Rattus norvegicus: one gene and its partners. The protein of the gene in region 3 purifies or fractionates together with the protein of the main gene of each other region. This does not show direct contact. Links are inferred from orthologs where the notes say so. Each region holds a gene or a part of one and is shown on either strand. Other genes may lie near its edges.

Region 1 (3,500 bases), on a different chromosome or scaffold from region 3:
TCAATGGACACATGAAGTATAAACCAATCAAACAGTTCCCTCAGCTTGTGTTCATGGCGCTCCATCACAGCAACGGCAACGCTAACTAGGACAAGATGGTAACCAATTCAACAAGTCTCCATCTTAACAAACGCACTTTCAGTCTTAGTACACTCCAGGAAGAATTCCCCTCTGTACAGTACTACTCTTTGTACTGGATTAAAAAGGTCATGTGAAAAACACTGTGAACAGAATAAAACAGAAGGAACCTAAAGCTAACAACAACAACAACAAAATCCTTAATCTAGTGGTTAATGTGAGTCGTTTTTCAAATATAGAAACACGATTCTGAGAACGTCAACCTTCCCTCCTATGGGTAACCAGCTTCCCCGAATGCGTCCATCGGTACTTCCTAAGGAGAGAGTGTTACTTACTGCTACTTTCGTCTCCATACTTGTAAATGCAGGTTGGGTTTGCAGGACACAGAGCTGAGAAGGTGGGAGGAACGATATCTAATATATGCTGATGGTAAGACAACCTACAACATAAACAAGAGTCTCAGAAAGTCTCATGTTTCAGGCTTTGCTAATACTCAACCTGCCCAGAAGCCAGATCTAAGATCCCACAGAGAACAACCAAGACGCAAATGGGGACCAAGTCCTTCCAACCATTGAGAAAGTTAGCATAGGTGAGTGAGCTCAGGCCGCTCAGACACTGACTCTGCAGCGTGCGTTCAGGGAAGACTGCAAGTGAGAATGGGTCGGGTGGAGGTCAGATGGCACGGCTGGGAGGCTGGTCGTGACACGGCAAAGAAATAAGTGGGAGCTAGAAAGAGGCACGCTTTGTCCTGTCCAACAGAGCATTTACATAGTATTTACAATGTTGGGTGTGAAAAGAGGGATATACCGTGCAAGCATGCACACGGTATCTTCCCAAAGGCCTCAACTACCCCTAAAAAATACACATTAAGAGCTTAAATCACAGTTCCCCAAAACATACTCTATCAACTAGAAACTAAAGGCTCTTTAAATAGATGGCTCTCGGAGAGGGCTAAGAAAACACAGATTAGATAAAAACCCAAGTTTAGAAAATAAGAAAATGCTCATCAATGTTGGGAGACATTGAAAAGAATCTTATTGGCTTAATTAACATAAAATCCAAATAGTACAGCAGACTAACTGTAGCCTAAATCTTCATTTAAAAGTGAGTTGGAAGATGGACAAACATTGTAAGTACAAAACAAAGGAGAGAGAAATCCTGTCAGATAATAACCAGTTCCAGCAGTTTCCTTCATGAGAAGCTAAGAGAGCTAAGAGAACAAAATGCAAAGAGCTTACCTCATACATTTCTCTAGAACTTCTCTTACAAACTTTGGTTTGGGACTTTCAAGATCCTGAGTAAGACAATCTGACCTAGGGAGGAAATCTGGATTACGTTAACATGCATAACCTTCAGTTCCTGGTTAGAGGTTTCTCTACCTTTTACCTCATCCACATAGAGTAACTAAATATCAAGAAATACTTGAGACAACAAACTGTTTTAAAGTGAGTTTTAGAGGCTGGTGGTTAAGAGCACTGGCTGACTTCCAGAGGTCCTGAGTTCAATTCCCAGAACCCACATGGTAGCTCATGACCATTTATAAAGGGATCTGATGCTCTCTCCTGGCAAACAGACAGAGCACTCATATATATATATATTTTTTTTTTTAGTTTTAAATATTAAGGTTTTCCTGTGTATGTATGTATTCATGTGCTGCATACATGAGTGTGACCTGTACAGGGAGATCAGAGGATAACCTTGGGCGTTGTTCCCCCAGTGCACCCACTTTGACTTGAGATAGTGTTTCTCGCTAGGCCCAGAACTTACCCATTAGGTTAGGGTGACTGGCCAGTGAGCTTCAGGGATCTGTCAATCTCTATGTCCCTGGTGCTGGGATTAGAAGCCCACATCTCCACAGCTGGCTTTTTTTAAACCCAGGGTCTGACTGAGCAGTGCTAGCTGGTCTGGAACTTGTTATGTAGCTGGCTCCTAACTCTTAGAGATGGGTGTGCCTCTGTCTCCTGGGTGCTGTAATTAAAGGTGTGTGCAACCAAGAAGGGCTCAACATGGGTTTTTTTTAACATGGGCTCTGGAGCTCAATTGGGTCTTTATGTTCGAGTAACAAGCACTTTACTGACTGAGCAATCTCCAATAGTAACTGTTTTCAATAAGGAAGGATAAACCTTACACTTACCAATCTTCCCAGCTCCAGCGGAATTGAAAATTACTTAGATGATGAGAAAACCAATTAATAAACCTACATTGGGGAGTGGAGCAGGGAGAAGAGAAAACAAAGAGTGCAATTTAGACCAGCAGTTTATAAAATCTTAATACAGCTCAACTGTCTCGGGGAACCCCACCCCACCTGTAGTCTTTTGTTTTCTCAACAAAGTCTGACTCCCTGTCCTATGTCCCCAGATTCCTCAGCTCTCACAATGGGGCTCCCTTTTATTCTTGTTAGTGAACAGCCATGAGTAAAGCATGTTTTGTGCAAAATATTTATGTAATTCTCACAGCTATGAAGGAGGATATTAGTTTTTCATGTAACTGTTTATGACATGGAAATAGCTAAAAAAATAAATTGTAGTTAATGTTTACAAATAATTTACAAATGGCAGAATCAGAGTAAGCTTCTCGTGTTTTGCTGGGAATCAAGCATGGGTTCCTGGGAGAGCAGCTAGTGCTGTAACCACTGAGCCTTTTCACCAGCTCTTAGACTCTCAAAGACCTTTTAAGAGTGTAACTACTTCTTCATTTATGTGTTTACACTGCATATCTGTGTACACAGTGCCAGCAGTGCCAGAGGTCAGACGGGTATTGAATCTTCTGGAACTGGAGCAAAGCTTCAGGATGTGCTTGCTGAGAACCAAACTCAGGTCCTCTGAAGAGCAGAACCTGAATTGCTGAGCTCTCCAAGCCCACTACGACCTTTTCAGGACAGCCTATATACCCACTTAAACACACGTAGCTCTCGGGACAGGAAACATCTTAGTGTGTTAAATGATGCCCTGAAGACCATTGGAGTACTCAAATGTTTACAGAACTGGTACTCTATTAGAGACACTGGAAAACACTTTCTTAAAGCACTTCTCTCCAAACTGATTTCAATCATTTGAAATGTTTCAAGGTCATGGACGGGGGTAGTTCTCACTGATAATTTTTGAATATGAGATTCTGAAGATTCCTGAGGCGCTAACATAGCCCTTAGTTGCGACGATGTCACCAATGGCCGTACCTGTCAACACACGTGGTACTCATGGTGTCCAGACGCATGTACAGCATCTCAGTGGCCTGTGCAAGCTGTGACCGGAAGGTAAGGAGAACTACTTCCTACTCTCCTGCCTAAGGACGGTATGTTTCTTTCCTTTTCACATAGCTAATCTTGTTTTTCAAGTTACACTGTCGACGCTGGACAGTAACCCTGACTGCTCCTTTGTATCCACTCCCCCTCAGTCATTTGAGACCTCTCACTGCATCCACCC
Region 2 (3,500 bases), on a different chromosome or scaffold from region 3:
TGGCAAGTGTGTACACCAATGGCAGCAGGGGCTAGGTACAGCTCTGTCCGGAGACCTCTAGCAGCATTGGTCCTCCTGTGCCAGAGTATTGTTTCCCTAGGCTAACCTAATTCTTTGAGGATTGCTAGGTACTATTGTGTGTTGTACAGATTTCTTATATTTTAGATGTAGATGTTCCCTGAAGGACAGTTGTAGAGAAGGGTAGGTAAACATTTTGATTTAGGTTACTCACATAATGGCATTGATGGTATGGGCTGTTGACCTTACAGATAGAGTGCTGCTATGGCATGCACACACACATACAAATAAATAAGTGGAGGTTTTGGATATGTTTTGTTTGTTTTTAAGTCTTCAGATGTAGGCAAAGATTTTTGTCTCAAGGGAGAGTTATACGTAAATCTTGGTGGATTTGGTTTTTGAGATAGGATCTGAGTTTCAAGCTCAGGCTATGCTGGAACTCACTGCAAGCAATCCTTCTGCCTCAGCCTCCTGATTTCTAGATTGCACGTATGCACTACCATGTTCAGCTACATTTATTTACCTATTTACTTACATTTGAGGGTGGATCTCACTATGGTTCAGTCCGGCTTCCTTTCTTTAGTTTTGAGACAGGATCCACTGGCTGTCTGGGAACAAACACGAAGACTCAGCTGCCTCTGCCTTCCAAATGCGGGCATTAATGTCGTGCCCCACCATGCCCAGTGCATCCCAGTCTGGTTCTGAACTGGTGGACTCCGATGATCTTCTTTGTGCTAGGTGCTCACCTTAGTGCTCAACCAATACTTCATTTTTGGATTGTTCGCTAAAAAGCATTAATGATGTACTTGACTTATAAAAGTCAACCAGGTTCCCTGTGTTTGCACCATCTAAACATTCCCAAGAGACAAGCCCAGACTTCCAAAGTCATATACTCTTGTTAGACCTTGAAGTCTGTGCAGTTGCTTTTCCAGGCAGGCTGCAGTAAGGAGTTGGAGAGAGCTGTAAATGTGTGTCCCACTGTGAGTTCCACTTAACATCTCACTTTACTAAACAGGCTCGAGAAGCGGTGGAAATGCGAGCCCAAGTGGAGAGAAAGATGGCTCAGAAAGAAAAGGAGAAGCATGAGGAGAAACTCAGAGAAATGGCCCAGAAAGCCAGAGAAAGGAGAGCTGGGATCAAAACCCATGTGGAAAAAGGTATGACATTCTCATTGGAATTTACTTACTGACAATGTATATCTCATTTTAGAAAGTCTCCATGCACTGAGCATGTATGAGGGAGGGTATTTTACAGCATACAAAAGTAGTTTATATGTACAAGAAAAATTGAGTTATTTCAGAAATAATGTAGAAGTAAGCTACCAAAAAGCAAAGAAGTACATATCTTTTAAAAAAAAAAAAAAAAAAAGCCTTTAATATGGGAGAAAGTCACTTGGCAGTATACTTCTGTTCCCAGCACTGAGGAGGCTGAGGCAGGAGAATGAAAAGTTTGAGGACAGCCAGGGCTACATAGTAAGATCCTGTCTCTAAAACAACATAAGCAAATGAAGTCAATTGTATAGAATATAATACAGTGGATAAAGAAAAATAAAACACGGGATATAAACTGCCAGAAGGAAAGGCTTGTCAGAAGAGGCCTTACTTGTTAATGCTAATATTAGTACAAAAACTTGTAAGTAAACCATGTGGCTATCTGGGAGAACATTCTGGATGGAATGAATGATAGGTGACTACAAGAGCCCTTGTGCTTACCCCAGTATAGCTGAGTCCATAGGAGATGTGTCAGAGTAGTTAGGGATCTGACCCAAAGCATCAGGTCAGCCCCGTGACAGCACTGCCCGGGCTGCACCAGTGAGCTCACCCTGCCAGACAGGATTGTGCTGGGCAGGGTCCAGCAGTGTATAACACCGCTAATTCCCACATTCCACACCAGTGGGTTTTGTGGCACTATTAAAGCTGGCCAGCAGTCACCTTAGTTTTTGAAACACAGCCTCTGCTTGGAGCTCACGAATTTAGCTAGGCTGGCTGTTCAGCAAGCTCCAACTAAAGCCTGTACATGGTTCTGTTTTCTTTCCATTTGTTAAAAGTTCTATGTGCTGTGTGTGTGGGGGGGGGGGGGGGGGAGGTGCTGATGTGGATGTGTGTGTGCCTCCTGTAGACACACTGAGTGTCCGTGCTCAATCACTCTTTGTAGTTTGAAGAAAGGATGTCAGAGAGTCGGAAGCTCACCACACTCACTACAATGTCTAGCCGTCTACCGGGCTGCTAGAGGTCCACACTCAGGTCCTCATGCTTGAACAGCAGACATTTTACCAGCTAAGCCATTTCCCCAGCCCTTTCTTTGCATTTTATCCGGACAATTTTCAAAGATAAGGAGGAAGAGCTGAAAGGAATGCTTGATGAAAAGAACAACCTCTCTTCACCTAGACTCTGGTTAATTTTTAAAGACAACTAGTGTGACTGGATTTTACTTCTGTGCATTTCAGTAACTTTGATATAGGAGTCTACAGCCCACAAACTTGGATTTAAATTGACTGCAAGGAATGTTGGAGGGCTGAATGTGACCACAAAGAACAGATGGTGCACACTTATAATCCCAGCAGCAAGGAGAGCCAGTTTGAGGCTAGCCTAGGCCATGTCTCAAGAAAATAGAAAAATACAGCATTTTCTAAGGTTGAAGATCCAGCCCCTTGTGCAAACTATGAGTAGTTAATATAGTGACAAGCTAATTTTCAACTGTGTCCACAGAGGATGGAGAGGCCCGAGAAAGAGATGAAATCCGTCATGACAGGCGAAAAGAGAGGCAGCATGACCGGAACCTTTCCAGAGCAGCTCCTGATAAGAGGTGGGTTGCTACCTACAAGAGTGTGAGTCAGGAAGAAGGGCATTTCTTTAGCTTGGTAATAAATTAAGAACTAACTTTGCCACACTCGAGCTGTTTGTTTTAACAGAATTGAAGCTCCCTAGAAGGTTCCCTGTTTTGTCCTTCACCTCATTGAACTAGTATTAGTTTTGAGAAAGTCTGTCATAGGAAAGGGACTCCAGATCATGTCAGTGCAGAAGGGAAGGATCAGTTGTTCTGTGGGCTTTTTGACTCCCAAGTGGTGGAATAAGTGGCTTGCATGCGTGTGTGTAGATGGGAAGCCAGGCACCATAGCCTTAGCGACCTCCTTTCTAGATCATGTACTGTGCCTGCTGCAGGGAGGAGGGTCAGTGTTGAAGGAAGAGTCTGGACTCCTGTGAACATTCAGTTTAACATTCAGATCGGAGCTTCGTAGATGGGAAAATGAAGTGGTGCAAACAAGCCCGGTACGTTCATAGGAACATAAAGTAGGCAAGTTTGTGAATGAAGTTTGTCATTCACAAGGGCCTGAGGACTGAGGTTGCCTCAAAGTCCAGAAAATGCTGTGCTGCAAAGGTGGAATTCAGGGTTTGAGCTAGATGCAAATAAGAAACACTTTCTTCCCGTATGAGTAATTGTCCACGCTCTGATGATGCTAGAAGCTGGTCCAACCCAGCTTC
Region 3 (5,724 bases):
TTTGGAGCTAGGGACCGAACCCAGGGCCTTGTGCTTGCTAGGCAAGCGCTCTACCACTGAGCTAAATCCCCAACCCCCTGAGAAAGGTTTTTATTTTATTAAAAAGATTTATTTACTTATTATATAAGTACCTCCAACCCTAAAAAGTTTAAAAATATTTAAATTAAAAATAGCCATCTTTAGACGGTGATGTGGCCCACTGCTCTAATCCCAGGCTTGGAAGAAGAACAAGAGAATCTCTGAGTTAGAGGGTAACCTGGTCTACAGAGTTCCAGGAAACCCTGTCTCGCAAAAACAAAAATGAATGAATGAATGAATGAATGAATGGAGTTAACCTTTCATTTGGAAAAGCCAAAAATTCCATAGATCTCCCTCACTTTGTAAAATTTTTGGGCAAACCTTTCAATTTCTTTCACCTGGTAAATCATTTATTTACACATATGTTCCCTTTTTTGTATTTCTGGAGACTGATGGCCCGAAGCCATCCTGTTCTTCTTTTTTCTTCATGTCATTTTCTCCAAGTCTTTTAGAACCTGCATAGTCTTGAAAGGTCAAAACACTGCCCACGGGAAAGACACAGTCACCACCTGTGTCAGAATAAAAGTCAAGACCAGAAGTGGTTACACTATCATCGGATCTCAGCATGCTGAGGGCAGAGGTAGGAGGATCACTGTGGGATGGATGCCAGCCTGGTCTACATACAGGCTGCATAGTCTGACCCTGACTAAATAAGTAGCAAAAAAACCAAAGCGAACTTCCTGCTTGCTACTCTGGTTTGGATTCAGGTGCACCTCCCTCACCAAAGCCAACTTCTTTACAGAACTGCTTTGCCTGTGCTTAGGAGCTCTGTCAGAGGAGATCATTGCGTGTTTGTTCCTAACACCAGGGAAGTGAAAACAGAAGGAACCTGGGGTTCAATGGCCCGCAAGCCTAGCCATGAAGGGCTTCCCATTTGTCTGTCTACCTACCTACCTCTACCTAGGTACTTATATTTATTGTTTTTTCGACAGAGAGTTTCACTATACAGCCCTAGCTGTCCTGAAACTTGAGTAGACTGGCCTTGCACTAGAAATACCGCCTAGCCCAAACCTTTCTTTAAAGAAAAAAAAAATAAAATAAAATTGGGAACACATAAACTCGCTGGACTGGAACATTTAAAATAAATCCTTTGAAAATGTCAAAGGTTTAAAGGTCTAAAGAAGACCTAAAAGATTATTTTTTATTTTTAAATCAGGAAATTTCCTGGGGTACTCTTTCCCTTTCTCAGTAGGCTATATACATTTTTGGCCTGTTTAATGTTTCTACAGTGTAACCAGAGCTTTACTGGCCGAGCTGAGGGGGTTAAGTAGTATCAAGCTATTGCAGGAAGTGGGAAACTGAGGCGGCTGGCCATTGGTTTTGCAGATTGTGTGACGACTTGGGCCCAGGAAACGGGTTTATAGGGGTCTAGGCAATTGCTCTTATAGGAGAGAACTATGGAAACCAGTTGGTTTGGAGGGAGCTGTTCACTGACAAGGCCACGTCCTTCCAATAGCTTATAGAATCTGGCAATGAGAGGGGATCTGAATTTGAAAATAACTGCAGACCTGTTTAGTTTTTAACACTTCAGGCGGCCTAGGGATTACGATCCTCCCTTCTCTAAAGCTTGTTTGCACTTCCCTTTTTTTCCAAGGCCTGAGGCTAGGGCAGGCCCTTTGCACCCGCTACCAGACTCCACCCAGGCTTTCCCACCTCCGTGCCGCGGAAATGCGGTGATCTGGCCGGACCTAGGATCTCTAGGAAGCACTGATAGGACGACACGGCCGTCAGTCAGGTCCGCCGGATACCCGGATGAGAAGCTGTGCGCGATACAAAGGCGAAAATTCCACCCAGCTTTCCGTCTGGTACAGTGACCAATAACCATCCGTCAGACACTAAGTGATAGAAAGCTTAACCAATTACTAAGTAGCTTTTGTTACGCATGTGGAAATTCTCCCAATTAGCCCAACCCACCTCGTGTGATGATTGGACGGAATTGTGAGGAGCGGTAACGCTATCTAATTAGGAGCGGGAGCGAGAAAAGTCACAGCCAATAGAAACGCCTCCGGGAGCGGGGCGGGGGCTGGACTTTTGCCTCGGCGGCAGAGGAGCTCGGGGGCCATTTTGTGAAGAGACGGAGAGCGAACGGTCGTGTGGTTCCTTGCTGTTGTAGCTCCGGCTTCTCGGCGTAGACCCGCAGTAGGAGAGGCAGGCTCTTCTCTCTCTCTCCTTCCTCTTGGTAAGCGGAGAGGGCGAGGGCAGGGGAGGCCCTGGGTTGCTGGGCCCCGCGAGGGGGTTGTAGGCGAGAAAACGGCCTCGCGGCAGAAACCGAGGCCGCGTTTGTTCCTGTGCGTTGGGGATTGGGTCTAAGGCGGGAGGCAACAGGCCTCGGCCTTGGCGCAGGTTCAACCTAGTGACCTCTAGGCCACGGTGCGTACGAAAATACCCTCTTTGCGCGCTGGTGTTTAACGGCTACTTTCATTTCCTTCCCCCATTAGGATTCCAAGGGGGAGCAGGGGAGCAAGAAAGCGAAGAACGAAATGCTTGTTAATGTAATTGTAGTGAATCTCTTACTCCGTTATTGTCTTCTAAGCTAAATGTCGGGCGTGGGTGGGGGAGCGATAACATGGTGGTGTAGTACTGGAAGCTTCTAAATTCCAGGCCGGCCACATGGCATCTGAACGGCGTTTTAACAATAGATTAAGTAGTGATTACTTTTTTCTTCAAGGGATAGATGGGTAAAAGTCGGGAGTGCTTTTGGTTTGTAAAGGGAAGTGCCCAAGGTAAATTGTAATTGGAATAATTACAGCTTTTTATCTGCAGGTTACAAATCACATAAGTTAGTGGAACTTTGCTTGAGGTAGGTACTGCTGTCCTAGAGAGAAGTGAGACTTAAAAGTGGTTGACAGGACCGGACTAAATCAGTAGTAGAGAAACTAAGATATTTCTAGGCAGGTCAAGTTACTAGAATAGACTATACACAAGAAGAGACTTAGCCGGTAGGTGGTGACAGTGCACGCCAAATGCCTCCCACCACTTGGGAGGCAGAGACAGGCAGATCTCTCTGAGTTGTGGGCCAGCCTGGTCACAGAGAGAGAGTTCCAGGACAGCTCGGGCTACACAGAGAAGCCCTGTCTCAAAAAGGGGGGTGGGGTGGGAATGAGTTTTTCTTTTTAGAGGAACCTGATACCGAAATTTACAGGACATTTTCAATCTGGACTTGGGAACAATAATTAAAAGGCACAGAAATAGTTTACAGATACTCCAGTATTAATCCTACCCATCTAGAATGGAAAAAAAGCAGTTTACAGCTAGTTATGGTAGTGCAGGCCCGGAATGTTTGCATTCTGGAGGTTCAGAGACAGGAAGATCCTGAGCAAGATCCCATTGCAAGGCAGCCCAGGACTACATAGTAAAACATGTTTAAAAATTAAAGTAGTTGCTCTCTTGTAGGTGTTGAGTTCTTTTTTTTTTTTTTTTTAGATTTATTTATTCTATATAAGTACACTGTTGCTGTCTTCAGACACACCAGAAGAGGGCATCAGATCTCTTATTACTGATGGTTGTGAGCCACCATGTGGTTGCTGGGAATTGAACTCAGGACCTCTGGAAGAGCAGTCAGTGCTCTTAACCCCTGAGCCATCTCCTCCGTCCGAGTTCTTTTAAATATAGCTAGTGATAGTGCTTAGGATTCAAGATGCCCAGGATTCAATCTCCCATACTAATAAAGGGTTTTTGTGTCACATTAACTTACCTGGGAGTTATTTCATTAGATAAACTTATTATAAAATTGGTATTTCACTCTGGCACAGTTTTTAATCTCAGCACTAGGAAGGCAGGAGATCTGAATGTAGAGTAAATCTAGTAATTCTAGGACAGCCAGGGCTATACAGAAAACAATGGGTTTGATTAAGTGACAAAAATATGCTACTAATCTTAGTTTAAACTATACACACATTTTACTCTTAAGCATACTTCATGGAATGTGCATGGCCTACTCTTGTAATTTGAGCACTTGGGGGATAGAGGTAGGAAGAGTTCAAGGCCATCCTTGGTCCAGCTTGGAGTATTAAGACTGTCTAAAGAAGAACAAATGCAGACAAAGGAAAAAAAAACAGCCTCCCACATTTTTTGTTTGGTTTCTCTGTGCAATAGGCCTGGCTTTTCTGAACCCACTGTCTTGATTAGGCTGGCCTTGAACTCTGATCCACCTGCCTCCGCCTAAGTAAGAGATGGGATTAAAGGCATGTGCCTTTAAAAAGTAGATAGAGTACAGGGTTTTGCCTGGTGAACAGTGAAAACTAGGTAAGAGAAAGTATTATAAATGTCAGAAGTTATGCAAGGTTACTGGTAGTAGTTGATGTATACTTGCCATTAAGTGTTATAAATGTAGGCCAGGCTTGGTAGGCACCTTGTTCTGGTAGAACATGTGGATTTCTTGGAGTTTTGAGGCCAGACTCAAATTACATTTTTGATTTGACTTGGGAGGAAGCTGTTAAAATTGCAAGGTTTGGATCTCTCATTTGCCATGGTCAAGCCATTTTCCAAAATGGTTGGTAATGGTTACTATTTTTTCTGTAGAGTAATTATAACATGTTTGCAATTTGATCTCTAGATTTATTGGCTTGTGATCTTGTTATAAATGGGCATGGCTGTTCAAGCAAGTAAGGAATATATTCCTAAATAGTTCGTTACAGTCTTATAGATGATGAGTGGAAGTTACTAACTAGGGAAACTACAATTGAAAAATCTTGGCTGTGTAAAACTATGTAAGTATCCAGTAAATTAGACTTCTGGATTTGTTTTGAGATATAAAACAAGCTAAACTACTACTTTATATGGAAATTTTGAGTTCTCATTTAACCCTAGTCATTGCTGAAAGTAGTTGACAAAATACACAAAAAATTGTCCTACCCCACCCCCACCTCTGTTTCCTAAATTATTACTGCCTCTTATTGGTGGAGTATGCACCCCAGTACTTGGGAGGCAGGGGCAGGCAGAGTTGGAGGCTAGCTTAGCTTAAGTAGCTAGTTCCAGGGCAGCCAGTAACAAATGTTATTTTGCTATTGACTACCTTAACAAGAGTATTACTATAAATCGGTCAAGTATATTAGTATTTAGCATTATTTACTTACATTCAACTTTCATTGGAAGGGTTATGGTTTTGTATGAACTAGATTGAAGAATTGGCTGCTGGTGAAAAATAACTTAGGGGTAGCAAAACCTCAGTGTTAAATGTTTTTGAAGAGCTACATTGAGTATTGTTTCCCGTTATTAGTTTAAAAGAAGACCGCTGGGCTCTGGACTACCAATTTCCAGTTGAGTCATGTGGTTCTCTTGACTCATTGTGAGTATCCTTTTAAAAGAGCTCATCCAAACCTTAATGAGAGTTTTGATAGTATAGCCTAGAAATACTTACATTTTTATTTTTCTGTGTATTGCTTGCATGTATGTATATGTGTACACTGTGTATTCTGGACATGTAAGCCACAAAGAAAACATAGGATCCCCTGGAACAAGAATTAGGTTGTGAGCTAGCTTGTGGGTGCTGCAATTAAATGCTCCTGTGAGAGCATTGGCTGAACTATCTTTCCAACTCCTATATACACGCTCTTTATTAAAGGACAGTTTGTTTTTAAAAGTAGCTCATTAGTTCGATAACTTAGGTGAGATAATTTGTTGACATAAAACGTGTAATGCTTCCTT
Region 4 (3,500 bases), on a different chromosome or scaffold from region 3:
GTGATGTAGGCCCAGCACTCAGGAGGCAGAGGCAGGCAGATCTTTTGTGAGTTTGAGGCCAGTGTGGTCTACAAAGCAAGTTCCAGGACAGTCAGGAATATTATACAGGGATGTTACTAGGTGGTGGTAGTTGGGTTTATTTTGAACTCCCACCTGAATAGTTATCAGCGATGAATAAAAAAAGCAAAATTACTAATTCTACCTTGAGACTTCTGGGGAATTTTACTGTTCCCAATATATAATACATCCTTTAACTTTTAGACATTTTACTTTTATTTTTAAAAAGCAGCAGAGGCTATGTTTTGTCTTATGGAAGTCAAAGCTGTGGTGAACTTAAGAGACTTATTCAGCCCAAATAAAACACATGGCATCCAAGGTCCAATAGATAGCACAAAGCCACAATGTACTTCAACAAACAATGGAGACCGAAATCAAACAATTAAAAAAGAAAAAAGGAAAGAAAGAACTAAGACTACTTAGATTCCTAGTCCCCTCCCTGGACACTGATCTACTACTCAAGGAAGGTGAGACAGAAAAACAGAAAGCACAACTCTTGAGAGCCTCTCAGATTCTTCTCAATGAATCATCTCCGTTTAACCCAAAAATGTGTGCACATACAAAGAGACCACACCACACTAATATAAACCAGAACCCTCCGAACTGGTCAAGGTGAGCGTTTTGCATCTTTCAGTCTTGAAGGCCCACACACTAGTTTATTGGTCAAGTTGCCTCCCTGCGGAAAGAACCATCAGTGAACTACACAAACTTGCTACAAGTAGAGGAATCTCTTCAGTTCCAGGAACCATCCAAAGAAAAGCCCCAAAAACCCGACAATGAAGAAACCGAGGACCTGCTCTTTGGAGGATGTAGTCTAGTTGCCACTGACAACAAGTGTGGCAAGCTTTTGTCTTTTTCATTGGGACAATACTCTAAAAGAAACTACAGACACGTTACAATAAATTAGCTATAAATCTAACTAAAATGTAATTCAAAGCCATATCATCAAAGTCATAGCATGAGCCAGTTCATGTCTGTAGCAAGAGTCTAGAGCAAGAGAATTGATTAAAAGAAGCCAACCTGGGCTCCACAGTAAGTTCCCAGTGAGTCTGAGCTATATAGACTACCCCTCCCCCACCACAAAATAATAATTTATCAACCACATTTATTATTATAGTATTATTTTTGACTAATGTTTTGTATGTTTTGTGGTGCTAACATTAAATAAATGCCCAGTGTGTATGGAACACTTACTAGCTTTCATTTCAGATCTTTGACACCTCTGATCTGGAGGAACTGAGCAGACACGAAGACAGGATTCTATGCTGGTGTTGCATCAGCTACTCTTTGTTTTTCTAAGCAGTTACAGTGAACAGCTATAATGTGTATTTACCTTTGCCATGACTTCCGGATCCGGTTCTTCCACGGGGTCAGCCCACTCAACTGTAACTACATTTCCCCACACTTTGACTTTTCCACTCATCAGCCGGCGTCTGGCTTGTGCTGCTGACTTGTGATCCTCATATTCAAGGAAGCAGAACCCCCGATTCTTCTTTTTGTCATCGGGTTGATGATAGAGAATAACGTCCACCAAACCCTCTGTTAAACCAACAGCCAGATATATAAGCCAAAAGCATCCACCACACGTCTAGTGATTAGGCAGACCTAAATCCACTTGCCAATGAGCAAAAAAAAAAAAAATTATTGAAGAGGCCTCACAGTAGCAAACATCAGAGCAGCATTATTCGATGCAGAGTTTGGGACAGTAGTATGAGTTCTGTTAAAGAGTTCTTAAAGTAGGTCCAACTACTATGAAATCTTGTAATTAATGATAAAACACGACCTCATAATCTATAAAGCCATTATCAGGACCTCAAGATTCAAATTATTTACCCAAATGCGAGAGAACTAACTCTCAACTACTAGTCACAGACCAAAAACCAAATCTAAATGAAATAAAACCCACCTTTCTGACATCCAGCATAACAGCTCTCTTTACTATGAACAAGGACCATCAGTAACCATTCGCGTCGAGTCCCTCTGACCTTATGTCCTTCCTCCCTCCACGTATGTCATGTGAGCTAACCGTAGTACTTTCTGTACCCTTATAAACAAAACTTTTTCTAGCCTAGATTTCTCAGAGACCCAGATGTATAAGCTACTTAAAATGCCTCGGACAAATTTCACATGTGCAAAACAGCACTACTATACATACCCAAAGTATACTTTCCCTAGGCTTCCCTACCTAATAAACAGGTCATCTTTCAGCTAAATCCTCGTGCCAGAAAATAGTAATTCTTTTCATCATCTCTACTGTCCAAATCTAACACATTTACTTTTTACCACCTCACTATTGCCATGGTTAGTACTACTAATCCTGATGACAGCTCTAAGCCTTCGTCTGCATAGAATAGAAAAGCACTCGGCATGCGGAGAAAAAAGACCTTCACACAGGGTTAGTTTTGGGGTTGGGGATTTAGCTCAGTGGTAGAGCGCTTGCCTAGGAAGCGCAAGGCCCTGGGTTCGGTCCCCAGCTCCGAAAAAAAAAAGAACCAAAAAAAAAAAAAAAAAAAAAAAAAAGACCTTCACACATCTTCTAATTCTATATGCAATACAATGCAAACTTCCTATATGGTCTAAGAGCCTTGACTGCTTCATCTCATATAATTCTACTTTTAATTTGTTTTTAGCAAATATTGGCTTTCTATCAGTTACTTTACTATAAGTTATTCTTGACTGGGACACGGTATATGTTAATCTTTTGGAAAGTTCTCTTCTTTTTTTGAATATATTTTTTAATTTATTCTTTTATGTATGTGAGTATACTATCTTCAGACACACCAGAAGAGGGCATCAGATCCCATTACAGATGGTTGTGAGCCACTATGTGGTTGCTGGGATTTGAACTCTGAACTCAGGACTTCTGGAAGAGCAGTCAGTGCTCTTAACCACTGAGCCGTCTCTCCATTCCCCAACTCTGTTCTTTGTATGCTATATACTCTTGAGTTTTTAAGGTCGTGCCCGAAATAAAACCTTATAAAAGCTAACCACAGAAACATTCTGTAATTCTACAACATAGAATTATTTCTTTAATTTTCTGATCTTAACTCTTCTCTGAGATGTAGGCCTTCTAAAGGTAGAAAACAGCAAAGACCAGGTCTCTTATCCACCACTGTATCTCACTGTGTAGCAGGTACTTTAATAAGCACATACTGGAGGGGAGAATGAATAGAAGAACACAAACAGAAAGCAATTACTATACAGTCAGTCAGTATACTATTACTATACTATACTATACTATACTATACTATACTATACTATACTATACTATAGTAATTATCACTATAATTATTATACTAGTCAGTAGGGCTAGAGGGATGGCTCCTGAGTTCAGTCCCCAGCAACCACATGGTGGCTCACAACCATCTGAAATGGGATTTGATGCCCTCTTCTGGTGTGTCTGAGGACAGTGACAGTGTACACACAGACACAGACACAGACAC

Evidence for each region. Proteins that work in one complex are often made in the same cells at the same time.
Region 1: the proteins of Hnrnpc (region 3) and Ncbp1 purify together in Homo sapiens (co-immunoprecipitation; 3 studies listed by BioGRID and IntAct, with this or other methods). This does not show direct contact. The link is inferred for Rattus norvegicus from reciprocal best matches to the Homo sapiens genes HNRNPC and NCBP1.
Region 2: the proteins of Hnrnpc (region 3) and Snw1 purify together in Homo sapiens (affinity purification with mass spectrometry; 3 studies listed by BioGRID and IntAct, with this or other methods). This does not show direct contact. The link is inferred for Rattus norvegicus from reciprocal best matches to the Homo sapiens genes HNRNPC and SNW1.
Region 4: the proteins of Hnrnpc (region 3) and Hnrnpr purify together in Homo sapiens (affinity purification with mass spectrometry; 3 studies listed by BioGRID and IntAct, with this or other methods). This does not show direct contact. The link is inferred for Rattus norvegicus from reciprocal best matches to the Homo sapiens genes HNRNPC and HNRNPR.

Annotation. Positions count from the first base shown.
Region 1 is NC_086023.1:65,232,132-65,235,631, reverse strand, and holds part of Ncbp1 (nuclear cap-binding protein subunit 1), read right to left. Parts: exon of another isoform or gene 3,319-3,500; coding exon 3,254-3,318; exon of another isoform or gene 3,163-3,253; coding exon of another isoform or gene 3,146-3,162; intron 2,276-3,145; coding exon 2,213-2,275; intron 1,392-2,212; coding exon 1,317-1,391; intron 518-1,316; coding exon 414-517; intron 1-413. UniProt on the Homo sapiens protein: Component of the cap-binding complex (CBC), which binds cotranscriptionally to the 5'-cap of pre-mRNAs and is involved in various processes such as pre-mRNA splicing, translation regulation, nonsense-mediated mRNA decay, RNA-mediated gene silencing (RNAi) by microRNAs (miRNAs) and mRNA export.
Region 2 is NC_086024.1:112,829,960-112,833,459, reverse strand, and holds part of Snw1 (SNW domain-containing protein 1), read left to right. Parts: intron 1-1,033; coding exon 1,034-1,175; intron 1,176-2,726; coding exon 2,727-2,823; intron 2,824-3,500. UniProt on the Homo sapiens protein: Involved in pre-mRNA splicing as component of the spliceosome. As a component of the minor spliceosome, involved in the splicing of U12-type introns in pre-mRNAs.
Region 3 is NC_086033.1:27,279,095-27,284,818, reverse strand, and holds the start of Hnrnpc (heterogeneous nuclear ribonucleoprotein C), read left to right. Parts: upstream 1-2,103; 5' UTR 2,104-2,257; intron 2,258-2,841; exon of another isoform or gene 2,842-2,878; intron 2,879-5,296; exon of another isoform or gene 5,297-5,365; intron 5,366-5,724. UniProt on the Homo sapiens protein: Binds pre-mRNA and nucleates the assembly of 40S hnRNP particles. Interacts with poly-U tracts in the 3'-UTR or 5'-UTR of mRNA and modulates the stability and the level of translation of bound mRNA molecules. Single HNRNPC tetramers bind 230-240 nucleotides.
Region 4 is NC_086023.1:153,847,019-153,850,518, reverse strand, and holds part of Hnrnpr (heterogeneous nuclear ribonucleoprotein R), read right to left. Parts: intron 1,672-3,500; coding exon of another isoform or gene 1,646-1,671; exon of another isoform or gene 1,607-1,645; coding exon of another isoform or gene 1,597-1,606; coding exon 1,391-1,596; intron 1-1,390. UniProt on the Homo sapiens protein: Component of ribonucleosomes, which are complexes of at least 20 other different heterogeneous nuclear ribonucleoproteins (hnRNP). hnRNP play an important role in processing of precursor mRNA in the nucleus.